7 linked regions of the Danio rerio genome follow. The protein of the gene in region 1 purifies or fractionates together with the protein of each later gene. This does not show direct contact. Links are inferred from orthologs where the notes say so. Each region holds a gene or a part of one and is shown on either strand. Other genes may lie near its edges.

Evidence for each region.
Region 2: the proteins of ap2m1b (region 1) and cltcb purify together in Homo sapiens (affinity purification with mass spectrometry; 3 studies listed by BioGRID and IntAct, with this or other methods). This does not show direct contact. The link is inferred for Danio rerio from reciprocal best matches to the Homo sapiens genes AP2M1 and CLTC.
Region 3: the proteins of ap2m1b (region 1) and ankrd28b purify together in Homo sapiens (affinity purification with mass spectrometry; 3 studies listed by BioGRID and IntAct, counting the BioPlex papers as one, with this or other methods). This does not show direct contact. The link is inferred for Danio rerio from reciprocal best matches to the Homo sapiens genes AP2M1 and ANKRD28.
Region 4: the proteins of ap2m1b (region 1) and eps15 purify together in Homo sapiens (affinity purification with mass spectrometry; 4 studies listed by BioGRID and IntAct, counting the BioPlex papers as one, with this or other methods). This does not show direct contact. The link is inferred for Danio rerio from reciprocal best matches to the Homo sapiens genes AP2M1 and EPS15.
Region 5: the proteins of ap2m1b (region 1) and mea1 purify together in Homo sapiens (affinity purification with mass spectrometry; 3 studies listed by BioGRID and IntAct, counting the BioPlex papers as one, with this or other methods). This does not show direct contact. The link is inferred for Danio rerio from reciprocal best matches to the Homo sapiens genes AP2M1 and MEA1.
Region 6: the proteins of ap2m1b (region 1) and necap1 purify together in Homo sapiens (affinity purification with mass spectrometry; 3 studies listed by BioGRID and IntAct, counting the BioPlex papers as one, with this or other methods). This does not show direct contact. The link is inferred for Danio rerio from reciprocal best matches to the Homo sapiens genes AP2M1 and NECAP1.
Region 7: the proteins of ap2m1b (region 1) and itsn1 purify together in Homo sapiens (affinity purification with mass spectrometry; 3 studies listed by BioGRID and IntAct, counting the BioPlex papers as one, with this or other methods). This does not show direct contact. The link is inferred for Danio rerio from reciprocal best matches to the Homo sapiens genes AP2M1 and ITSN1.

The regions. Positions count from the first base shown.
Region 1 is NC_133193.1:48,960,589-48,964,088, forward strand, and holds part of ap2m1b (AP-2 complex subunit mu-B), read left to right. Parts: intron 1-968; coding exon 969-1,234; intron 1,235-1,392; exon of another isoform or gene 1,393-1,488; intron 1,489-3,500.
Region 2 is NC_133190.1:19,748,630-19,752,129, reverse strand, and holds part of cltcb (clathrin heavy chain 1), read right to left. Parts: coding exon 3,398-3,500; intron 2,083-3,397; coding exon 1,890-2,082; intron 1,780-1,889; coding exon 1,622-1,779; intron 1,184-1,621; coding exon 1,019-1,183; intron 888-1,018; coding exon 780-887; intron 1-779. UniProt on the Homo sapiens protein: Clathrin is the major protein of the polyhedral coat of coated pits and vesicles. Two different adapter protein complexes link the clathrin lattice either to the plasma membrane or to the trans-Golgi network.
Region 3 is NC_133191.1:21,480,489-21,483,988, reverse strand, and holds part of ankrd28b (serine/threonine-protein phosphatase 6 regulatory ankyrin repeat subunit A), read right to left. Parts: intron 2,708-3,500; coding exon 2,625-2,707; intron 2,503-2,624; coding exon 2,439-2,502; intron 1,684-2,438; coding exon 1,615-1,683; intron 1,523-1,614; coding exon 1,382-1,522; intron 761-1,381; coding exon 649-760; intron 558-648; coding exon 531-557; intron 1-530. UniProt on the Homo sapiens protein: Regulatory subunit of protein phosphatase 6 (PP6) that may be involved in the recognition of phosphoprotein substrates. Involved in the PP6-mediated dephosphorylation of NFKBIE opposing its degradation in response to TNF-alpha.
Region 4 is NC_133183.1:18,308,567-18,312,066, forward strand, and holds part of eps15 (epidermal growth factor receptor substrate 15), read right to left. Parts: intron 1,571-3,500; coding exon 1,373-1,570; intron 539-1,372; coding exon 155-538; intron 52-154; coding exon 1-51. UniProt on the Homo sapiens protein: Involved in cell growth regulation. May be involved in the regulation of mitogenic signals and control of cell proliferation. Involved in the internalization of ligand-inducible receptors of the receptor tyrosine kinase (RTK) type, in particular EGFR.
Region 5 is NC_133188.1:4,157,818-4,162,037, forward strand, and holds the start of mea1 (male-enhanced antigen 1), read left to right. Parts: upstream 1-1,420; 5' UTR 1,421-1,505; intron 1,506-2,692; 5' UTR 2,693-2,699; coding exon 2,700-2,984; intron 2,985-4,220. Other genes in the region: dnph1 (5-hydroxymethyl-dUMP N-hydrolase), read right to left, coding at 1-122. UniProt on the Homo sapiens protein: May play an important role in spermatogenesis and/or testis development.
Region 6 is NC_133194.1:11,499,014-11,502,513, reverse strand, and holds part of necap1 (adaptin ear-binding coat-associated protein 1), read right to left. Parts: intron 2,045-3,500; coding exon 1,963-2,044; intron 1,821-1,962; coding exon 1,712-1,820; intron 1,425-1,711; coding exon 1,286-1,424; intron 1,153-1,285; coding exon 1,059-1,152; intron 1-1,058. UniProt on the Homo sapiens protein: Involved in endocytosis.
Region 7 is NC_133176.1:50,394,224-50,398,282, forward strand, and holds the start of itsn1 (intersectin-1), read right to left. Parts: upstream 2,801-4,059; 5' UTR 2,625-2,800; intron 1-2,624. UniProt on the Homo sapiens protein: Adapter protein that provides a link between the endocytic membrane traffic and the actin assembly machinery. Acts as a guanine nucleotide exchange factor (GEF) for CDC42, and thereby stimulates actin nucleation mediated by WASL and the ARP2/3 complex.

The sequences.
Region 1 (3,500 bases):
TCACTTTCGCATTTCGAGATGTTCATAATATGTGCGTGTGCAGGCGCTCACAGGCTGTTTCATGGGCACACGCAAAGCTTGAAAGTAAACAAACAACGGCTTATCATAAGCATCTCATCGATGATCATTTATACAGTTGGCATTAAGAAGAACATATAAACGTGATCTGACTAACTTCTAGCAGCTAAATGTGTCTGGGAAAATATTCAAAGGCTTTTATTCTCATAAACCGCGCGGACGTAAATGCGTCTGACTGTTCTGATTGGCTAAAGCAGACGTCTTACGTCAGCACGTTCTAGACGTGCACACGCTTATTCCGGAAATCTTCCTTCTGCGTTCACACAGCGCAGCATTCCGGCAAATTGCCGGTAATGTTACAACTTCTCTTTCCGGAAAATAGCCAGAACGAATTTACCGGTATTTTCAAAAAGGACCTGTTCACACATACAACCTTTCCGGAAAATTGCCGGCAATTTTCCGGAAAGGTCTGTATGTGTGAAAGGGGCTATTATCTCTACCGAAACATGAAGAGGGGGTGGGACATAGTGTAGCAGCTCCTCTTTAAAAAAAAAAAAAAAAACGCCAATAGTGTTTTGCTTTATCACCACCCTGCCAGTTAGAGTGGTTGAGAACAAATGTATGCAAATGTGAAGCATCTTGAAGGGGGCTGACCATGTCAGTTGCTAGAGAGCATTTGATTGGTTAAGATTTGGTGATAAACTGAAGTATGAGGGGACTTGAATAAAATCGTTGATCCATTTAGATGGAAGAGACAAACTATCATTTTTTAAAATCTTCTAAACGTATATTTTGTCACTGTTTTGGTGCGCACTAGCTTATAGATATCTTAAAAACTAATAATACTGATTCTAACATGTAACTAACACTCATTTCAAAGTAACTTTAAATATAGTTTTTTTTTTTAGACTTTTCCATATGAATCAACCTTTACAACATCCTTTCTGCAGGAGGAATGCAGTGGACGCGTTTCGCGTAAACGTGATCCACGCGCGGCAGCAGGTTCGCTCACCTGTCACCAACATCGCCCGCACCAGCTTCTTCCATGTCAAGCGCTCTAACATCTGGCTGGCTGCCGTCACCAAGCAGAATGTCAATGCTGCCATGGTCTTCGAGTTCCTCTACAAGATGTGTGATGTCATGACCGCGTATTTCGGCAAGATCAGCGAGGAGAACATCAAGAACAACTTTGTATTGATCTACGAGCTCCTAGATGGTAGGATGACTCTCTTTTCCTTAAAATAAAAACAATTATCATTGCTTCATCATTCCCACAGCAAAGAGATATTTGTTAAAGAAATAAGTTGCATAACCAGAATATTTCACAGTTGAATTTTCTCTTCGCTCATGTGGCAGTTCCAGCCTTAAGCTCTCCCACAGCTGCTGTGCTGTTGTTTTTTTAGGTTTTGATTTTTGTGAAATGTCGATGAGAAAATCAAAACCTAAAGAAAATACTGCGCAGATAGATGGACATCACCTCTGCCTTCTGAGATAGAAGAAGCTTTTTACTACAGTGTTGGAGTCCCAAAACACACACTTGCCACAAATTATCAGTAAGGGGCGTGTCATGAGACTAGATGACTAAAAGGGGCGTGTTTATTGTGTTGCTTTCAACATTGCTTGGCAAAACTCACTTAGTGGAATATTAATACACTGTTTTGACACTACAACGTAAGCTATGAAAAAAATATACAGCACTGTTTTAAACCGAAAATCTCTTGTGATACTTGTGATGTTTAATTACATGGACTGATGATCTTTTTTTTACATGACAAGTTTTGATTTACTTACACTTTTTAACGGACTGTACAGTAAGTAATAATTATAACATATTTTCTGGGCTCTATTTTAACTATCTAGGCGCAAAGTCTAAAGCGCAGGCGCAAAAGCATTAGAGGCAAGTCCAAATCCACGTTTGCTATTTTATGGACTGAAAAATACGGTTTTATGGGTGTGTTTTGAGCATAACATGCATTAAATTAATCAGAGTCGCATCTCAAATTCTCTTTAAGAGTCAGTTGCGTTGCACCATGACACATTTGCTATTTACATGGCGGACTCTGTAAGTTGAAAAACTGAACGCTTCACTATCCAAAAAAGAATTAAACAGACCATCTGCAGCCCGATGATAAAGAATGAGCCTCCTCCATTCGACCTCTTAATTTTTACTCTTTACTTTACTTCTTTACTTTCGTTGATAAGGAAACGGTGAAAACTCACTCCACTAAAGACATCCATTGGCCTACATATTTAATTTAGTTTAAGCGCAAAGATTTGTTTTAAAACCATTTCTAAGATCAGTTTTAATTTCCAGCAAAGGAATAAATGAACAACAATAATAGTGCAGTGTGGTCAAAAAAACTAAGTTATATCCAAACACACGTTCTGTGCTTGTGCCCCATATGGTGACGCAGACGTCTCCAAAACCCCACAAGTGGACAAATCTAAACTATTTTTTATTAAAACATATATAAATATGCATATAATAAATAATGCTACTACTAATAATAGAATTTTACAAATGCACCAAAGGCATGGAGGCAGTGTTTTTTATATTTATGTAGAAAGTAATATTTGTAACATTTTAATACTTAAATTCTTTTTTAGATGTAAAGATATTTGTGTATTGCTGTACATCCTGTGTGTATTAAGCGCTTGTACCTGCATAGGCCCATAACTAACACGATCTGCGCTGGACTTTAGACCAGTTTTTAGTTGGTCAATGGCACGGCCTATTTCAGTTTCTCAAAATAGCAAAGCGCCAACAATGCGCCTTAACACACCTCTTTTTTTAGACCAGCACACCCATTACTCCACAAAGTGGAGCAGATGGATTTGCAATTTAAACAACGTGCTGCAAAATGTGAAAATTACTGTTGCTCTGGTCTGAAAATAGCAACAAATCGTGCCATACACGTATTGCGCCAGCTGTATAATAGGGCCCTCTATATGAATTTCAGCTAAATGATGATTTTATAGTATTTAAAATGGTGCAATACTATTTTAAGAATTTATTGTTTTTACCATGAATTCAGAACATGAACATTTTGCAACATCATTTAATTACATATATATATATATATATATATATATATATATATATTATTTATTTATTTATTTATTTATATATATATATATATATATATATATATATATATATATATATATATATATATATATATATATATATATATATATATATTTATATATATATATATATATATATATATATATATATATATATATATATATATATATATATTAATATATATATATATTTATATATATATATATATATATATATTTATATATATATATATATATATATGGTTGAGATTTTTACTTGCCCTGCCAAAATTTTCACCGGCCCCACCAAAATAAAACTAAAAAGTTATTAGCTATTTCTTAGCCACATATTTTAAATAGTGGCAAAATTATGCCTGTGAATCAAGAATTTAAACATTTTAAATATGTTAATAAAT
Region 2 (3,500 bases), on another chromosome or scaffold:
TTTCAACAGAAGACAGAAACTCAAACAGGTTTGGAACAAGTTAAGAATAAGTAAAGGATGACAATTTTCATTTTTGGTGAACTATCTAATTTAATAAATGTGTCATTTACGTAAAAAAAACATGTATGGGTTTTTGCTTTTTAGATTTTGAAGATACTGTTTAGCTAACTAATATAACATGTATATGATATAAGAATTACAACATGTGACTAATCATAGTCACATTGATATTATGTCATTATAAAAAAAAACACTCCACTTTTTTTTCTAAATAGTCTCATTTTAAATCTCTACTAAAGTTAAACAGTTGAGTATAATATTTTTTTATCCATTTTGCCGATTTCAGACTCTGGCGAGAGCGCTTTTAGCTTAGCTTAGCATAAATCGGATTAGATCATTAGCATCATTTTTCTGTTTAAAACTTGGGTCTTCTATTGTTGCATCATGTACAAAGACTAAAAAAAATTAAAGTAGCTATTTTCTAGGTTAATAAGGCTAGGAAATATACTCTAATTCCAGCGTATTAATCAAAGAACTTTGCTGTCTTTAGTTCAATAATAAGGAAGATTTTAAACAGAATAATGTTTTTTTTTTTTAGTTTTCTTGCTTTGCAGTCCTATAGTATTTATCGCTCCTATGTTAGTAAATTACATCCAAAACTATTACAGTAAATAGTATAACTATGAATGCCTATAATCATTCCTTGATATTTTCAAATCATCCACAATCATGAGAATCCTGTTAATATCTCTGCCTACGCAAATAATTGTTTAGCTCACCTGGTAATAGTTGATGAGCTCCTCAAGTTCATCAGCATGAACGACAATATGTAATCCACACATCTGAGCCAGGCGAAACTCCTTCCCATCAACACAGGCAAAGCAAACCTACAAGGAGAGAACATTTCTATTATTAATATTCAACCTGAGTCAAGCATGCAGAATATTAGGAGAGCAATGCAAGGACAAATGTAAGTATCATCTCATGTATTGTCAGTAAAATCAATGTGTAATCAGACCTCTTTCCAGGTCCGTGTGCTGTTGGCTTTACGGGCCCCATCGACAGCTGCCTGATATTCCCCAAGATGCACTAGAGTGGAGGCCAGACGACCAAAGTTGGATACATTGTTATAAAGTAGTTTAGCTGCCTCGTACATCTTCTCATCATAGCATCGGTCACCAACCTACACAGAAGAAGCAAAACAGATGTAGATGATGCTTTATTTGTAATATTTAATAAGTTCAAAGTCTCCTTTAGTGTAATATTTACTTAATTTTCAAGAAATTTTTTCATTTAGTTTTTTTAAAAACTTTAAATAAATAAATATATACACGTATATACATACAGCACATACATATTTAAAAGCATTTAAAAAAATTACATAAATGAAAGCATAAATATAACCAAAAATATGCATCATTAAAAGGCTAAGCAGGCAACAATTAAAGCATCAAAAAAATAAAATAAAAAACGTTAATAAAGTCAAATAAAATATAAAAATATATTTTTTTTATTTCATTTAAATGATTATATATTAAATGAAATAAAAAATAAAATGATACTTGCTATAGTTGGCCTCATAATTTTTTAAAATACATTATCAAAAGTAAGAGACGCATACTTGTTGAATGTGTGCGTTGTTTGGCCCGTTGATAAACTCCTCCAGTTCAGCTAGACGGTTAGTCTTGGCCAGGGCAAAGATCAGCTCAGTCTCCACATATGATTCACGGGCCTTCTTACGAGCCATCTGCAAAAACTTGACCAAATCCTCCCAGTTTCCTGAAAACAAAACGTCATTAAGCTAACAACCAAACCATTTTCTGTATTTATGACCCCCCACACCTTTGGATGCTGTGGATATAGTCGTGAATCAGGGGACTGGTTCTTACCGCTTTGGGCTGCAGCTTGTCCCACTTCCATGTAGGCTGAAGGGTCATCAGCTTTGATGTAAGAGTCAATAGCCTCTTTCACCAGCCCCTTCTGCAGTTGTGCTTTAGCCAACTGACTCCACACAGCTGGCTCATTGCAGCGCTCGGCAAACTCATAAGCCCGGTCCAGATTCCCAATGTGCTCGATGAGAACCTGTGGTCAACACACACAATGATTTGAGCCCATAGAGAAACAACTCAAGCAGTACATGAACATAATTTAATAGAATATTTAGTTGTTATATTATATTAGTTTATCATATAAACTATTATAATAATGCACACAAAGTGGTTGTGTATATTAATTTCTAATAATACAATGAATTGGAGTCAATTATTCGAATTATACCACACCTGATAAAAATTGTATGAGCCTATTTTTTACATATCCATTTTAGGCTTTGAAGTAATTTGAAATAGCTGAAATTGTTTAGTTGTGGTCATATGAAAGTGAAATATCTTCCATGAAACTATACGCGCGCAGGCTGATAGGTCACCTAATCTGCTCCTGTGACATTAACTAGATGGTTACCGAGGAGACAGCAACCAATGAGCTTGCTCCTGATCAGTTTAAATGCTCCATGTCATTTTTTGCTGTTAAGCTGTGGTGCGTTTTCGGAGACCCTCCTCCGCCCCAGCTCCACCTGTGTTTAAATCTGCTATAGAGGTTAAATAAACATTATGTTTGCAGCAGCAGCATGTTGTATTCTCAGACAGCATGTCTGTATATATACTGGTAGTAGCAGGTCTCTGTACTTGCTCTGCCATAGAAATCAAAGCAGCAGCATTGTAGCAGATCTATACCACCAAAACCAAATACATCAACATTGCCATATACATATTCATTACCATACCAAATCCAGAGTGTTCATTGCAGAATTACAGTACTGTTAAGGCATGCCTAGTACTACTTTAGGGACCGATTATACCACCCTTTTCTGTTCTAAGAATGCAAGGCGCACTGCACTGCCTTTTTTTGTTGACAAGAAGTGTGGTGCATTTTTATGTCGCTTGTAAATGGTGAATCAGCTGTGTATTGAGCACAGGTGGTACTGTTGGAATTGTTAGTATTATAAAATTTAATAAAATTGTGATATTTAAGATTTGTGAAGTCTCACAGCTCTGGATAACTTAAAACAGTCACCACTAGTCTCTCCTCCATCATTCAAAGTTTCCGTAGTCCTCTTGACAACATAAACAATGACGTCACCTAAACAGAAACCCTACCTCTGCTTTCATTTAATTGGAGACTGAAAAAGACGCGACTGACGCAGTGCACTTTTCCCACTCAAAACACAACGCGCAGCAGGAAGTTAAAATGCTCACGGCTACTAGTAAACCTGTCAAAAAAGGCTCCTCTCAATGCAAAAAGCATGTTCGTTGTGGTCAAGACGTTACTTTTTATCTGAAAATCAGAATCAAGCAATTCAACAAGCCTGTAGTATGAAAAATGAGAACATGAACCGCACCTGCACTGCAGATGTGTTTACATCAAACTTCCTGAAGATGGCAAAAGCCTCCTCGAAGAGCTCATTGCTAATGGCGATGTTAGCGATGTCAGGGGCATCGTAG
Region 3 (3,500 bases), on another chromosome or scaffold:
CTAGTATTTATGTGTATGTACATGTCTGAAAATTAAAATAAATGTTTTTTTTTGTTTTTTTTTTTACAAAACACTGGTAACACTTGTTATTAATTAGAAGCAATTTGCTCATCTTCTCTTGCATTCCACTTTCTAGTCATACTAGTGTGATCATACACACGCTTGTCTGATCACACCAGTGTGATTATATGCGATAAAGGGATAATATCGCACAGCTGCTTGCCTTACAAAGTGCTTAACTTCTTTTGGTCCCCCTAAAATCACAGGTGTCAAAGCCAGTTCCTGGAGGGCCGCAGCTCTGCACAGTTTAGTTCCAACCCTAATTAAACACACTTGATCAAACTAATTGAGTCCTTCAGGCTTGTTTGAAACTTACAGGTAAGTGTGTTGAAGCAGGGTTAGAACTAAACTGTGCAGGGTTGCGGCCCTCCAGAAATTGGCTTTGACTCCTGTGGCCTAAATGAAGAACTTAAACATCTTAAAGGCCATGATATATCAGGAAGTTTTATGTTAAGCATTACAGTTCTTACCACATCTAACGGAGTTTCACTCGCAATCTAATGAAGAGAAAAGAAACAATCAGCTGAAAATATTTACAAATTATGTGAATTACCGAATTATGTGGTTTTAAGTTCACCAGTAACTTACCAACTCCAGACACAGACGGTGTCCATACGCAGAGGCGTAATGCACTGCATTGTAGCCCTGATTGTCTCGGATCCCTGGGTTAGCATCATTCCTCAGCAAATATTCCAGGCACCTAGTTAGGGAAAGAGAAAGACTGGTAACTACTAGAAAGACATGTCTGTGAAATTAAATCTGAGATTTTCAAAATGAGAGACTCATTATGTTCTCTTGAATGGATTTTGGGCTTGGTTTTTAAGGGTATACTCACACTATGTACAGTTGCTTTTGAACCGTGCCGAAGCACGCTTGTAATGATTAATCAATCCATAGGAAACAGTCCCTTAAAAGTTACATTTCGTGATCAGTTTCAGGCTCAGGGGCGATTTGCAATTACACTAAAATTGTACCGCGCCACAGCCCAAGTGAACAGCTTTCTGGTACAACTCTTCCAGCCAGGGCAGGGCCGGCTAACTGCACCGTGCCTGAGCCAGATTTAGAACACTCACACTTCTCAAATGAATGATCCGGGAAACGTGCCTGGGCAAGGTACAATTAGCATAGTGCGCCCTAAGAGTAGGTGGTGCTTTAGGCTAGTTTAACAGTTTTACAGTGCCATCAGCTGTTGATTCAATCGACTCATAAAGGAAAATAGTGAAGAATTTAAAAAAAATCTAGAATTGACTTCTTAAACACTTTAGTAAATACATTTCTTAGAATGTCACCATTTCCACTTGTTTGCAACATGGTAACTTACTTTCCATCGGCGTCAGAAGCAGCGGCATAATGGAGGGGGGTGCAGCCCCTCTTGTCAAGCTCATTGACGTTGGCTCCTGAGCCCACCAAAGCAAACAGGCACTGGTAGTTGCAGTTTGCAGCTGCGTAGTGCAAAGGTGTCCTGCAGAACAGATTGTTAATGTTTGCCTTGTAAAAAATATCACTAGGTTGTTAGAATAATGTTTGGCTATAGTAATGTACTAGTAAACAAACCTTCCAAAGCTGTCCTTCCTGTTGAAATCTGCCCCCGTGTTGAGGAGAAGATTCAAACATTCAAGGTTCCTGTAAGGAAACAGGTTTTTGGTAAGCTGTTAAAGTTCTCTCACACACACAAAACACACACATGCACGCACGCACGCACACAGTTGAAGTCAGAATTATAAGCCCCCTTTTGACTTTTTTTCTTTTTAAATATTTCCCATATGATGTTTAACAGATTCAGGAAATTTTCAAAGTATGTCTGATAATATTTTGTCTTCTGGAGAAATCCTTATTTGTTTTATTTCAGCAAGAAGCAAGATTTCTGCAAAAAGTCTTTAATTTTTTAAAAACCATTTTAGGGTCAAAGTACTAGCCCTTTTAAGCTATTTATTTTTTCGCTAGTCTACAGAACAAACCATCGTTATACAATAACTTGCCAAATTACTCTAACCTGCCTAGTTAACCTACTTAGGCCTTTAAATGTCAATTTAAGCTGTATAGAAGTGTCTTGAAAAATATCTAGTAAAATATTATTTACTGTCATCATGGCAAAGAAAAAATAAATCAGTTATTAGAAATGAGTTAATAAAACTATTATGTTTAGAAATGTGTTGAAAAAATCTTCCCTCCGTTAAACAGAAATTGGGGAAAAAACATACAAGGAGCCAAAAAATTCTGGGGGGCTAATAATTGGCCTATAGGGGGCTATATAATTTTATTATATATATATATATATATATATATATATATATATATATATATATATATATATATATATATATATATATATATATATATATATATAAATAAAACAATCAAATTAAAAAGAACCTTACCCGCCGGCAGCAGCAGCATGTAAACAGGTCCTTCCAAAGTCATCAGGGGTGTCTATATCAAAGCCTGGAGGACAGAAACATGCTCAGTTTACTGTTTTAGAGAAATGAAGCAGACAACCATACAGCAATATTAGATGTAATCCGTACACGAAAAATGTAATGACTATTAGCAGTGATGCAGCTTACCAGAAGACAGCAGCTTACGGCAGCAGTCCGAGAAGCCGCTGAGAGCAGCCAAATGCAGTGGAAACATGCCATGAACTCCTCTCCTAAGAAAAAAAAAAGCAAGTGTTACATATAAATTTACAGGTCTACATGTCTGCATATGATCAGTTACAACTAAAAAAGCACCAATGTCCCAGCCAGGAATTGGACATTTTTATCCAAAAATGCTATTGGGAGGCAGCTGTTTTTTGTTTCGAGCTATTGATTGGTGTTTCATGTGCATATTGAGTTTGCAGAAAAAAGCCGGAAGCGCTAGCATTTACAGCGAAAAAATGACATCCGATGTGGTACAGAGTTATTGTATTAGAGATAAGTTATAATGATTACATAATTTTGTTATTTACATAATACTTTCAGCATTTTATTACAGCTTGTCACCTAGTGATAAGCAGTTACTTGGCAAGATTAACATTAAAGTGAGCTGTGTTCGTCTGACAGGTCCATTTGAGATAGCACCCTGCCAATGGATATTGGATAAGACGAAATGGCCAAGCATCCAGCCCGAAATATACAACTCTCTTATTGAAACTCCAAGTGTTTTTACAAGAGAAATGTTAAAGGTCTACAAGTCTTTTATGCCTACAATTTTGTTCTATGTGGTTATGTGCAAGAAATAATGTTCCATGACTCCAAGATTCAAAACTTTGTAGTGCTAAAAACCGAGGTTCTGCCTAGCCAAAGACAAGGAAAGAAGATGGAACTGTACAAGGCCTGGGTAATCATCAACAAGAAAACAACTGCATTCTGACATAAAACTGCACCTGTACAGCAGGGTATGTGAACCTACATTTTTACATTTCATTCTAAGCATTCTGTGTCCGCAGTTTAATTAACAAT
Region 4 (3,500 bases), on another chromosome or scaffold:
TTCTGTGTTTTCCCTCTCCTCATCCACCTCTGCCTCTTGTGTTGTGTTTTCCTATAACAAGAGAGGCATAAACAGACCGATGTATGAGAACCTATTTGTTAAGTAATGCGCAAGTGACATACTAATTATGCAATAACAGGAAGCGGTTTCTGACCGTGTTCCCCTGAGGCCAGTTGACAGAGGTGGAGCTGATGGTGGAGAAGGCACTGTTGTAAAGATCATAGCTGTAGAGTTCAGGTTTGCTCTCCTGTTGCTCTGGGCTGCTGGACGGCTCCTCGGCCTCAGACCCAGGCTCCTCCTCTGTGACCTTAAGCTCTTGTGGCTCATCTGTGGATGACTGCTCCTCTTCATCCTGCACTTTGTCTTCTTTGGTTGTCTCTGGTGGCTGTGCTGTAGGTTGAGGCCACTGCAATGGCTCTGGATGCTCAATGGAGGGCGCCGCTCCGTTGACTAGTACCGGCTCCTCCAGGATTTTCCAAGTAAGCCGTGCAGTCACCTCTCTCTCCTCCATTTTAAGCTCAGACAAACGCTCCTGTTCCTATGAGGGAACAAAAAGCAATATATTATGTGAAACAGACATTAAAGCGAGACAAGTAGTGTGTGCTTTTAGGAATGGGAATAAAAATCAGACCAAACCCAGTTGCAAATAATTAAAAAGCAGAAATAGGAGGATGGCATGTTTTTTTTATAATAACAATAACAACAACACAATTATTATTAATATTATTAGAGAAATTTTTAGACTGACATCAAGGTCTGACTATAATAATAGTAAACATTTTCATCATGGACTGGAATTTCTTTTTTGGGTTTCTCTAATAATCGTGTTATATTATTATTATTATTATTAACAACAACAATAATAATATTAATAACAAAAATAACAACAGGTACCACTATTATTATTATTATTATTATTATTAGTAGTAGTAGTAGTAGTAGTAGTATAGAAAACTGAAAACAAAGACCATGGTGTAATAATAATGTTTTCTACTTTCTTCCTCCTATGATAATCCATAATTTTATTATTTAATAGATCTTTAATAATAATAATAATATACAAAATAAATACACATTAAACTGAGGGTAAAATAAATAAATGTATATATGTATATATATATATATATATATATATATATATAAATTAAATCAGTGTCAAGAAATGTAACACAAATAAAAAAAATGACAACAAAAATGCAAAAGAGTTACCTTTAAAAGAGTTTACCGTTAAGTTATCTTGGTATATCACTCCAGTTGTGTCTAAATTGTTTTCCAGTTAAAAACTGGAGGTTCGCCCAGGGTGCCATTTAAACTAGAACCGCTACTGTTAACAAATACCGAAAACTAAGAAACGGATCAAAAGCTGACAAACCTGAACAATCTGCGTGTGGGATTCTTTGACGGCATCCTCTAGAGGGCAGAGTTGAGCTCGAGCAGACTGAACCTTCTCTCCCAGCTGACGCGTCTCCTCCTGCAGATGGAGCAGCTCTTCTCTGGCTCTGGTCAACTCCTCCTCATAGTCACTGATTCTCTGCTCCTGCTCAGAGTGCTGCACCTGCAACGACTGGATCTGAACACGCACACAAACACAGACAAGTGGGGAAAAAGCAGAAAGCAGATCTGAGATCAGTATACTCAGTGAACTACATTGAGTGCTCATTTTTATCCATTCGAGTGAAAATTGTGAAACAAAAGTGAAATAGTACTCTTTTTTTTCCTTTGGTATACAAATTTACATATGAAAATGTAATGCAAAACTGCATGGGAGATTAGGATCAGAAAGTCTAAAACGCATTCAAAACAGCATGCAAAAGTGCGCATTGCAATGCCTACATACACTTAAATCTTTAGTTGAATCAATTGAACATTTCTAGTCACTCTCCTTCAGCTTAGCCCTTAATTTATTAGGTGTTGCCACTACGGAATGAACCACCAATTACTCTGGCATATGCTTTATGTGGCGAATGCCCTTACTTTTCTAGTCATCTCAACTTAAATTGGTCAGATTGACTAATGACATTACATTAATTACGTTTTGTATGCTAAACAAATTTAGTTGAGACCTGATTAACTTGTTAAATTAAGTAAAGTAACACAAAAACATTTGTTATTATGATTTTATGTCATATTTTTGCCAGTGAAGATGAAAACCGGTTTTAATAGTTTTAATAACTCTATAATCTTACTCTTAATTTTTTTAATAAAGGATTGATCTCCACATTATACGCTAAACTCATATCTCTGAAAGAATATAATGTGGATAAAATTAAATCTAGATGGAAAGACGAACTTAAAATTATCAGAGACTTTTTTTGGAGGAGGCACTCAGAAATGTTCATGCATCATCATCCTCTGTTAGGTTCGGGCTTATAAAGTGTTAAAGTGTTACATTTAAGCAAGGCACGGTTGGCAGGAATGTAACCTGGATTAGATGCGTCTTGTGATAGATGTTTGTTTTCTCCAGCTGATTTGACACTTATGCTTTGGTCTTGCCCTTCTTTAAAAAATTATTGGACATTGATTTTTAAATCCATCAATGAGGCCCTAGGGGAGACATTATTGCCCTGTTTCTTAATAGGTATATTTGGAACTCCAAGTGACCCCAGCTTACCAGCTACTCGGATAGGCATTATTGCTTATACATCTTAATATAGTAGTTATATAAATAACTACTTAAAATAGTAGTTATTTAAAACTATTAGTTATTTAGAAACCCTTTTTTATATTTCCGGGTATCTCAGAAGCGAAAATTGTCACAGCTGGGCAAACTTAGAGCACAATGAATGGGAAAGTACCACAATTTTTTGTATTTCTATTTGATTAAATAATAATAATAATAATAATAATAATCATAAAAATCCACAATGGTGTTTTAACAATTTTCCCAACAATAAAAAAGAAAAATTGTGTGAGATTGGTAATGGCAATCAGGAAAAAAACACTATGTTTAATTTACTGTCCTGCCCATTGACGCTGCATTACAAACACCCAGCATAAGTGGTAATCTGATCCACGGATTATATAATACAAATTATAGCTTTATAAATGTAAATGCATTTTATTAAAAATACATTTAAAAAAATTAACGTATTAAAATCTTTGAAGGAATAAAGATGCTGATGACGAGTAAAAGCATCACCGCCTTGTAAACAGGTTCCATATATAAAGTTTGCTCTAAATAATTTTGTCCAATTTGTTGTGAAACAATCAGCAAATTAGTTTGAATTAATTATTACATAAATTACAATATACAATTTAATGTAATAAACAGTTTAATATTAACACAAAATATTACAGCAACAACTAATTTACAAGAAGTCCTTTTTGGCTTTTAGGGTTGAAACACATTTTTACGACTAAAATTCCAGGACTTTTCCAGGACACTTAAGACCAGGACCTAATGTTTCATGTAAAGTCTAAGTATATGTGGTAAATGGCATTAGTTTACATTTATTTTTATATCAATGTAATACTTATTTAGATAATGCTTACACAACACT
Region 5 (4,220 bases), on another chromosome or scaffold:
CTGTCATAACTCACATGCTCGGTTAAAACATTGCCATACTGCTGCAACTTCTTCACTATTGTCTGATAAATAACCACGTCCTGTCGCCCTCCCCGAATGCTTCCGCAAAAGTATATGTTCATAATTTGCAGGAGTCCTCGTCTTTCTTCTGTGATACAAGCGTGCTTTTCTCAGCAGCACAGCATTCACGGGAAGTTCAGATAAACTGCAGGTCATTTCCCGCGCAAACACGCATATGTACACAGACACACGAAGAAAAGCGCCACCGTGCGGCCGCTTGTATATTACAACACTTCATGACGTTAGAATTTATTAAAAAATAATTACTCCTCTTCGTAAATCTCTTTAACTAGAGAAGGAAAAAAACATAAAAAGAAAACATAATTAAAATGTATTGTTTATTTTAGGTTATTTATGTCTTAGTTTGTCAAATGTACAAAAATATACACAGAAAAAGGGAAAATAACACAAAACGACTGTTTAAATGTAGAAAAAATTAAACAAATGACGGCTACATAACAACAATTGCTTCATTCAACATTACATTCATTTATTTGTTCGTTCATTAGCTCACTGTAAGAATCACATCAATCACAACAACAATAATACGCCACGTGCACATAGAAATAAAGCTATATTAAATTAAAATACATTTATTATGCAGTTATTTTTCTATTTCCTGAGAAAGCTTTTATAATCATTGCTAGTTACTTATTCATATATGCCCTCTATTACTATACAATATATAGACGGAATATTAACTATTTAATAAAAAAAATCACCTAAAAGATGTATTCATGACTTATTTTACTGCAGAACAAAGTGCATACAGTATATAACCTGTTTTAACACATTTTATTCTGTTTTTAATTATTTCTATTGTTTGTTTTTTATTAAACTTGTCTTTTTTATGCTTGTTTATGTAAAGCACTTTGAATTGCCACTGTGTATGAAATGTGCTATATAATTAAACTTGCCTTGTCTTGCCTTACAGTAATAAAGCTTTCTGATATCATGAATATAAAAATATAATTTTTTTTAAAGTAACACTTTACATTGACAGTACATGAATGATGCAATAATGTAAACTAAACATTACTTTATTATGAACTAATGATGAGTTAATGAATGTGCTACTCATGAACTAACTTTAACTACAACCTGAGTTCATGTGTGAATAATGACTACCTTAATTACAAGTACATGCTTGTTTGGTAATTAATGCATCAGTTTGTGCCTAATTAAACCATCATAAACTCATGATATGTTAATGCATAATTATATGCATTATATATTGCACATTCACATGAGGTAGTCACAATTTTAAACAAACTGTCAAAAAGCATAAAAAAATCGAGTATTTTAATTTACGCAAGATACGTCGCTTGGCGTGTTGACGTTTCGTGACGCAATCACTGCGCAACACCGGAAACAAATAGATTCTTCTCGGATACAGATGCATCAGCTGAAAACAAACGAATAAAAGAGCTCGAAAGAATCAAGAGGTAAGAGGAAACAGCCAGAGATTATCTTATAGTTTGCTTTTAATTGTATTCGTAATGCTAAAAAGACGCATTCGTGTGTCAAAACCCTGAAATGATATGAAATGTGTTTAGGCTAGCATGATGTTATAGCATAAGCATACCTTAACAGGTTGATGTTAAATTGCACATGCACACTTTTTCCTAACACCTCAGTGTTTTAACATCTACCAGTACATTTCCTAAAATATTAATTTAATATAATTGTTAAAACTAAAACGTTTAATGCGCGAAAACATCAGAGCAACCAACATTTCTGTCAAACGTTACTGTAATTAACGCTAACTACTGCAGAGTCCACAGATAAAGTGTATAACAGCGCATTAAGTCTTTTCTCCTTCATAGAAGTCTATTGAAAATAGCTTCAAGTTGGTTTTATATTCGCTTATTCAGACTTTTTCCTTTCAGAAAAGTATTTTTTTGCTAAATCTAAATATGGTAATCATATTAACGTTAGCAGCCAATGACTATCAACTACAATATGGACTACAGAATGTTACGTTTACACACAACCACAAATTACATGTAAACACATCAGCTTTTCACAGCGTAATGCTCACTACTCATATGAACTTTTGAAAGGGCTACTTTTTACTCATACTTTGAGTAATATTTACAACATCTACTTTTACTCAACTCTCACTACATTTTTAGGCAAGTAATGGTACTTTTACTTATGATTTTTCAGTACTCTTTCCACCACTGCTGGTTGTTGAGTTAACTCGAGCCACATTAAAGTGAGAGTTCACTCAAAAATGAAACTTGACTCATTGTTTACTCTTCCTCAAGTGGCTCTCCAACCTTTAAGACTCTCTATTTTCTCTTAACCACAGAAGAAGTTACTTTGAAAACTGTTAGAAACCTGTAACCAGACTTCCATAGTAGGAAAAACAAATACTAAGTCAATGGCCACAGGTTTTCAGCATTTTTCTAAATATCTTCTTTTATGTTCAACAGAAGAAACTCATGAAACTACTATATAAGAATCATTACTAATAGCCATTCTTTATAGATCACTGGATGTTATACACTTTGTGAATTAGCGGCTAGTTTTTTGATAATAATTACAAGCTTTGAAAGTTTGGTCGATGTTAAGCACATTAAACTACGATAAGAATTTTCTTATGTCTCAATATTGTGTCTGTTCGCAGCCCTTGAATGGAAGTGGCGAGGGCCCGAGAAATGGGTCCCGAGAGAATCTTACCGAACTCCGAGGAGGATGTGGTGCAGGACCGGCCTTTAGACGCTGCCGTGCCGGAGGAGTGGAGCGGAGAGGACATGGAGGAGGAGGAGGATGAAGGAGGTGCTGGAGATCAGGACAGCGCTGGATATTATTATCAGCCTCTGAATCAAGACCCAGACGGGGTGAACGGCTCGCACACAGAGCCAGCCGATGAGGGCACCACTGCAGAACAGCTGCAGGACGTCCAGGAGAGAATAGAGGTATTACTGCTGATCTGTGGAAGCAGAATTCATCTTGAAATGTCAGATGCAATATATTAAGAGTATTTAAATGAGCAAGACGTGCAGAATAAATATTTCAGTCATGTCATTTACACTTGCTATTTCCAAACACAGTTTGGTAAAGCACCTGTTATTTTTAATGCTACACAAATTGCATAATTAAATGAAAAATGTAATGGCAAATTGAATTACTGTGCGCAAGCAGAAATGGTAGCAATTGAAAATGTATATTTTAAAAACATCTTAATCATGAGTGTCATTGCAACCAATATACATTTAACTCACCGTCTTTTTGCCATCCCATTGGCTCTGAATGCATTTTAAAATATACATCGAAATAAAGATACACAATGAAAACATTCCAGATCCAACGGTGTAATGATGAACATTCGATCCTACTCCTTCTAAACTATAATTTTGATACCATTTCTTCTAGTATGCTACATTTTTCTTTTTAATTTTGCAACTTAAGCATTAAAATTAACTATAAACTCACCGGCCACTTTATTAGGTACACCTGTCAAACTGCTCATTAATGCACATTTCTAATCAGCCAATCACAGGGCAGCAACTCAATGCATTTATGCAAGTAGACATGCTCAAGATGATCTGCTGCAGTTCAAACCGAGCATCAGAATGGGGAAGAAAGGTGATTTAAGTGACTTTGAATGTGGCATGGTTGTTGGTGCCAGACGGGCTGCTCGGAGTATTTCAGAAACTGCTGATCTACCTTTGGCTCAGAATGCATTTCGAAATGTATTGATTTTGGCTGCAAAAGTTCCATGGTGTAAAGCTGCGGCCACACTTGACTTTTCTCCCCATAGACTTCCTTTCATACACACGCGAATGCGTCAGACCGGAAATACAGGGTCATGCGTCAAGTTTCGCAGTTCGCTGAGGTGCAAAGTTCAAGCTTGGTGAACTCTGATTTGCGAAATCGCATCACTTGACTGCGTGAGACCAATCAAGGATCAAAACATGACCTCTCTGGACAGAAATTTAAAACATGGAGCAATCATTCGCTTTTTTTTAAGGTCTAATCATCTTGTTTAATCCCGCCTCTTGTCGCAGCGACGTACAACAGAATTTTACACACAAACTCTAGTGTGACCACAGCTTAATGATGAAAATGCAACCTTCTAACCCTAAACTAATTTGCTACCATTTCTGCTTGTACGTCACACATATTAGTTCAGTTAGGCAATACATTTTAAA
Region 6 (3,500 bases), on another chromosome or scaffold:
ACACAAACACAAACAAACACTTCATAAAAGCCATAAACTAAGCTTTTTTTGCACTGCAACTGATAATCAACTGTAAAAATAACAAGTCGTACCTCCTTTCAATATTTAAAACCACCAACAATCAAGAATGCATGATTATTTGGTGTTTTCAAGAGTTCACACTTAACTGATGATTAGTAATAAGCTAGTTTGGCATGCGGTCCCCGGAGAGAGCCCCGAGCTCATGAGAGCCTCGAGCCCGGAGCTCCCTCCCCGCTGCAGGGGGAGAGGGGAGTTTGAGCTCGGGTAGATCTCGAGAACCACCCCACATTTTTTGCTGTGAGGCCGCAGTGCTAGCCACTGGGCCGGCGTGCTGCTCTGTAGAAAAGAGGAGGAGAAGGGGTGGAAGGGGGGATTCTTCAAGCCGAAGATGACTAAAGGTAAGATGTTTGGTTATTTATACTGGGTTAGGAATAGTCTGATTGGTGGTTCGTACATTAGCTAGACTCGGAGCCAGCCGTGTCAAACATAAGCACGTGATCCTCTCGAAATTAGTTTATGAATAAACTTCACATAGAGGAATTCAATGGGGCAAAAACAGCCACTAACATATAAAAAAAGTTATTAGATTTGCCCATAGTGTATTGTTGAGTCTTTTAACAATACACATACAATAACATTTCCCAAGCATTTTCCCAAAACGTGTCAAAATAAGATTTGTCAATCAAAAATCATTCCATTTTCTGAGAAACAGAGAAAGATGTGGCTAAATTTATACTCAAAATCACCCCAGAGTGGATGAAAACATCCCCAACAGCACACAAGGGTTAAAATATTCTATTACCAAAAAAATATGAGTTTAGAGACAGAATTTGCAAGATATAAACTCAGAATGAAATAAAAACCCAATTCGTTATATCTTGCAATACAGACATTAAGATACAATATTGAAAAAAAATGTTGTTTTCTTAAAATCTTAAAAATCTTAATTTTAAGAAATTGTTTAGTTATTAGCAAATAAACTTCTGAATAAAGGAACATATTCACTGGTGAAGAATCAACAACAGTAATGATGTTACCTTGCAGAGCTAGAGAAGTCTCCCCATAGGTCAGAGCTGGGGTTGGACTGAACCACCGTATTAGAATTACTGCTGTCCAGTTCTAATAAACATGCTAAAATTAGGGAGAGAAAGTGAGATCAGACAAAAAAAGATCAATTAAGATATCAACATCTAGTTGCAACTTGCAAGACTAATCTGTGAAAACGCATCAATATATTCATCTACAAGCAGTGATGAGGTCTAACCTGTCTGTGCTCCTCCTGTTGGCTGGACTGTGTTGTGATTAGACAAAGGAGGCGGGGCAATCTTTCCTCCTGGAGGTGGAGGGAGGAGCCCCAGGCCTCCTGAGCTCTGGGGGCGGGGCTTGTCCCTCTTTTTACCTTGCTGCACACAGAAACATTTCTCTAATACAGTGGTCTCAAACTCAGTTCCTGGAGGGCCACAGCTCTGCATAGTTTAGCTCCAACCACCTCCAACTCACACCTGCTTAATAGTCTCTATAAGTCTTGAACAACTTGATTAGTTGGATCAGCTGTGTTTGATTATGGTTGGAGCAAAACTATACAGAGCTGCATCGCTCCAGGAATTGAGTTTGAAACCTGTTCTCTAATATGTGGGCATTAAAATAATAACATGATTGTAAAAAGGAATTTTTAGCCGTTTTGTTTTACCCCGATATTCAGTGTGATGGTCTGTCCTTCTTTAAAGCCTAAGTCCAGTTTGGGTCCTGAGTCTGCAGCCTGAGAATTTTTGCTGATTTCATTCTCCTGTTTCACCCACCTTAATATGAAAATATCAAAATATTTCAACAGAATCAAAAACTGGACATGATAAAATAGCTTTTTAACCATTTAAGGTGTTACTACAAGTACAAAATCATTTCCAATTATGAATGCGTGCATGCTTTTTGAAAGAATCTCACTTGAAATGATCCTGCAGGGCAACATTGAAGTCAAAAGCATCACCTCTGTCTGCAAATCCAACACCAATGAACGCACTCCGACCTAATACACAGGAAGAAGAGATAATGAACATCTAAACTGTAATATAAATTGATTTATTTATTTCCACTGTCGGACAAAAGTTTTGTTGCTGATCCCAGTTGTAAGATCAACAAATAATAACTTGATATGTAGTTGATCATTTGGAAAAGTGGCAGAAGGTCAATTTTTGCAATGAATCATCTGTTGAACTGTACTCCAATCATCACAAATACTGCAAAAGACCTATTGGAACACACGTGAACCAAAGATTCTCACAGAAATCAGTCAAGTTTGGTGAAGGAAAAATCATGGTTTAGGGTTACATTCAATATGGGGGCATTCGAAAGATCTGCAGAGTGGATGGCAACAGCCTGAGGTACTGTATCAAAACATTTTTGCTGCCCATTACATTACAAACCACAGGAGAGGGCAAATTCTTCAGCAGGATAGCGCTCTCTCATACTTTACCCTTTCCTGCAAGAAAGCTTTCTTCGTCGTTCCAAATGACTTTATTAATAAGTTATTTGAGTCATTGCAAAGATGTATGGATGCAGTCCTCAAAGCTCATGGGAGTCATACACAATATTAATTCTTCTTCAACTGCACCATGACTTTATATTATATACTGTACATTATTTCTGTTGCAGTAAGTGACAAGAATTTTGACTACGCAAAGTCAGACCTTACTGTCCTAAATAAATAATTGAAAATCAAGACATGTTCATATTTTATTTTGGTAAAATAAGTGTAATCTAGAGGCCTTTGCCTTTTATATAAGCCACTTCTGACACCAAATGATCAACTAGAAGTCGAGTTACAATTTGTTGTTCCTAAAAACTTGAATAGGCAACAACACTTTTGTCAGGTAGTGTACATAATGCCATATCAGAAGCAATGACTTTATTAACTGCAAAATCAAAAGTCAGAAGGCACACTGTGATTACAACACAATTAAAATGCATTGTTTACATTTATTTAACATTTTTGTTTAAAACAAACAAGCAAATGTGCATTAAATAACAGTAAATACAGCATTTATAAATAATATTTTAATCATAAATTTATTCATTATGATTACAAAATAATTCAAAGGCATAGCTTACAATTATAGCACAAATTGTTTAAAAAACATGTAATAAATAACAGTAAATATAGCAATTTTAAAAAAATATTTTACTCAAATAAAAACATATTTTAGAACATTTTTTTAAAATATTAATATATTGATTAGGATGAAAACATTCTCTGAGATAATGACAATGGGTCTCACTTTATATTAAGTGGTCTTAACTGATATGTACTTACACAGGAATTAATTAGTAACAATATGAAATATGAAATAATATGTTTGTTACAATGTACTTATTGTGTAAATACTTGTATTTACTGTGTACTTATGCTTTATTAAATACATGTATGTAATTACTTATGTAATTAACTTTTGTAATTACATTTGTAAATACACTGTTGACCATCC
Region 7 (4,059 bases), on another chromosome or scaffold:
TTTCCATATCATATGCAGAATTTAAGTTAAACATAAATAAGAGGTCTTATATAAACTACATGCCTGTTTTTATTTAGAACCATCCTGAATATGCAGTTTCACCTAAAAGAGTATCAAAGATGTTAACATTCGTTACATAAAATGGATTATTCAGCACAGTATCAAATAAAACATGCAATTTTTATAAGAATTCCTCTCGTTTTGTTAAAATTATTAAGAGTTTGGCAATTATTATGCCTGTGCATGTAATATGATGTATAATATCCTTTTCCAAAATGTATCTTATTTACTCTTCAACGCTACCTCTCGTCTGACATGTCTTACCCTGAAATGTGTGATGTTTGTTTATGGTCAAATCAAGACTTGATTTTGATTATCATCATCATCATCATAAGTTTTTGTAATTTGCACTGTTTGCAGGAAAGTGGAGTAGTTGTGTGTTCTATATTTAAAGTAGAGCTTGGTATCAATTTAAATGTACCAATTTGATTCAATTCTGATTCCCAATCTCCTATTTTGATCTCATTCCATTCTTAATCTTATTCTAGATTTGATTCAGTGAAAATAGATTTTATAAAAATGCAATTTATATTTCCAAAATCCTCAAACTGACATTTCCACATTACAGACACATAGTTACTTTCTGCCTTTTAAACCCCTACTTAAATAACTTCAAAAAGCAAATCAACCAATACAGGGCTCGAAATTAACCTTTTTCCTTGGTAGCACCGGTACTCCTAACTTCAAAAATGTAGGCCCATCAGACAAAATTTAGTTGCACCCACCAAAAATTGTGAGTCAAATTATGACTGTTCCCTGAAAACTCAGTCCCACCGGCTCTACAGTGAATGCTTTAGTCATTTTCATAGCGGACTTTAACCACTGGAAGTCTTTTATCCACTCGTCGAAAAGTGTAAATGCTGGATTGACATTCATTACATGATCACTAATCAGATGTGCCATTATTTGTAACTTTAGGTGGTTTCTAAAACCACATCTGTCAGTGTTGTTTTCATTCTCTCGTATCCAGACCTTTACATTTTCGCGGCTGGATCTCGATGTCATCGAAACTGAGTAATTAAGAGCTGATGTTAACCAATCTAATCGCCTTATGTTCTAACGCAGTGGGCCAATAAGAAGAGCTTGAAGGTGGGACAAGCAATGGGGGCTTTGTTTCCTGCAGCAAGTTGACATGTCAACTATTTTAAACCATTCCCGAGCGCTGCGTTTGGTGTTTTTTTGCTGTGAAAACTGGTAGCACGATAACAATTTTATGCACTCGCACAAATGCTCCCAAATATATTTTGCGGTTGCATAGAAAAAATTTCAGGCCCTCTAATAAAATTCCATTATTCTGCCAAATGTTATTTATTTCATTGGTTGTTTGAAGACTCTAATAAATAAGTTTCCTTTTTGGAGGCCTGTCAATTGATATTTGTAAATGAATTCATACATCTACAAATATAAATTGGCATGCCTCAATAAAAGCCTGATAATAATATGCAGATATGCTTTCTCATTTACATTAGAGTGACTATGACAGTCTGGGTAATGTTTAGACATATTTCATTTTAATATTAACAATGTTAGATTTACATTTGAATATTATAAAAACTTTAAACACAATTACAAACACAAAACATTCTTCAATAGTGCTTAAAATTTTGATCAACGTTGGTTGCACTTCTACAGCACTTGGGCCTGTCATATTTGAATACCCGGGTACATCCTAGCAACCAAAAATCTAACCTTAGATCAGTTTGTGAGGTCACATTTCAAGTCTACCGCTTAAGTCCTGTGATCAAGGAACGCGTGTATAAACCAGGAGCTGAACAGGTTTAAGACCAGCCTGACCTGAGGGAAAGTCTCCAGCTGCACAGCTCATAAGATCTCGTAAACCACCCTCCAATCTGACAGTGTTTACATACTATACAGGACTGTGGCTTAAAGACAAAGCACCCAAATCCACTGCCAGACTGCACTACAGGATCTGAGCCTTAATCACCAGACATAATCACAGGATAATAACCCATGTTTCTCCTGGCTAGTATGCATACACACAAACACACATGTGCACTGGAGAAAAGATGGAGTCGTCATCATCATGCACACTTGAGCATCTCCATATGCAAGTGCTACAGATGAGACCTGCAGCCATGTGAGAAGATGAGCTGGTGGTCTTCACTGACCAAACTCACTCTTTCTACATCCTACATGTAACACACATGTCCTCAGCCCTCTCGAGGTCCTAATAATCCACTATATCCATGTGTTTTACCACAGAGGTGCAGTTTTTGAGCTGCTGTCACTGATAAAAACATACCAGCAGCCGTTAGCAAGACTGCTAACTAAACCAGTAAATCAGAGCAGAGGTTTAACGTTAGCTGCAATCTCGGCGTGGAGAAGGGGAGCTTACAGAGGCCTGTTTTTATGAATAAATGACTATTGTACTTATTGATGCGGTTTCTGAATGGAAATGACCGTTGGAGTGACCGTTGCAGAGCATATGCTAGTGTATGGAGACGAAGCGCGCCCTGAAATCCTACAGATTCCTCCTCCTCCTCCTCCCGCAGTCACTGTCATAAAAAGGACAATCGGCCTGAGCTCAAAAACAGTCTTCTTACCTCATCATTCAGTTTCCATTATGACTCCAGCACTCTGCGAGGGAATCAACTAAAGGGGCATGAGGTGACAGGCGGAGGCTCTTCTGTCCTTTTTTGACGCTCGAGGTAAATTCCAGGCGTTATTTGGCTGCTGCTTGTGTGGCTCCTCGTTTCCTCTGTGCAGCTTCGCTAGTAGTGAAGTAAAAGGGGGAAAATGAAACGTGCGGACGTCATTGGGGCGTCCGAGTCTGCCTGTTTACTGCACATAGAGGGCGCTCTGCGGCCCAAATTAACCCATAGCACTTATATATCTCTTACAAGAAAATAATAATAATAATTCATAAAAATATAATAATTAATAAAAAATAATGCAAATAATAGCACTTTTATATCTTTTACAAGATAATAATAATAATTAATAAAAATGTAATTAATACAAAAATAATAATACCTAAAACGTGAAAACAAGATAAATAAATAAATAAATAAATGTGGCATTAGCAATAAACAAAAAGAGAAAAAAAAGAACAAAAACAAATTTAAAAGATATCCTTAGAAAGGTTGTCAAAATGCATAATAACCCGATAGCGCTTCTGTTTACTGCATACAGTAGAATCTTAAAGGGATAGTTTGGCCAAAAATAAACATTTACTCATTATTTTCTTGCCTTCACTTGGTTCTAAACCCTTTTTATTTATTTTATTATTATTATTTTATTTTATTTTTTGCTGAACTTAAAACAAGATATTTTGAAGAATGCTGAAATTCGGTAACCATTGAGTTCCATAGTATAAAAAAACAAACAAGTACTATGGAAGTCAACGGTTACCAGTTTCCAGCTTTCTTCAGAATATCTTCTTTTGTGTTTGGGGCCCACTAAAGGCCTCAGTAAATTTCCAGATGATTTTCTAAAGTAAGAAAAAATCAGGTTCACTATAAGATAAAATGGCTTACATCAAGATTTAAGTTTTATTTTATTTTAATTTGTCATTTATTTAAAAACTGAAGTAAAAGCAAAACACAGGAATATTAAAATTACTGGAGCTTCTAAATTTCTAATGATGTTAAGTTTTTTTTTATTAATTTCAACAATCTAATGTGTAAATTGTAAAACAATTTTGAAGGGCGTCCAGGTCACAAAGTCCTATAATTCATTAATTTTCTTTTTGGCTTAGTTCCTTTATTATTCAGAGGTCGCCACAGCAGAATGAACCACCAACTAATCCCAGTAATGGGTTGCGGCTAGAAGGGCATCTGCTGCATAAAATTCATATGCCAGAATAGCTGGCGGTTCATTCCGCTATGGCGACCCCTGATTAATAAGGGACTAGCTAAGCCTAAGATAAAATAATAAATGATTATTACATAAGTTATTCTGTGAATTTTTTTTTCTTGCATAGAAATTATACTACAAAAATAATTATTACAAATGTTTCCCCCAGGTGTGCGTGTTAAT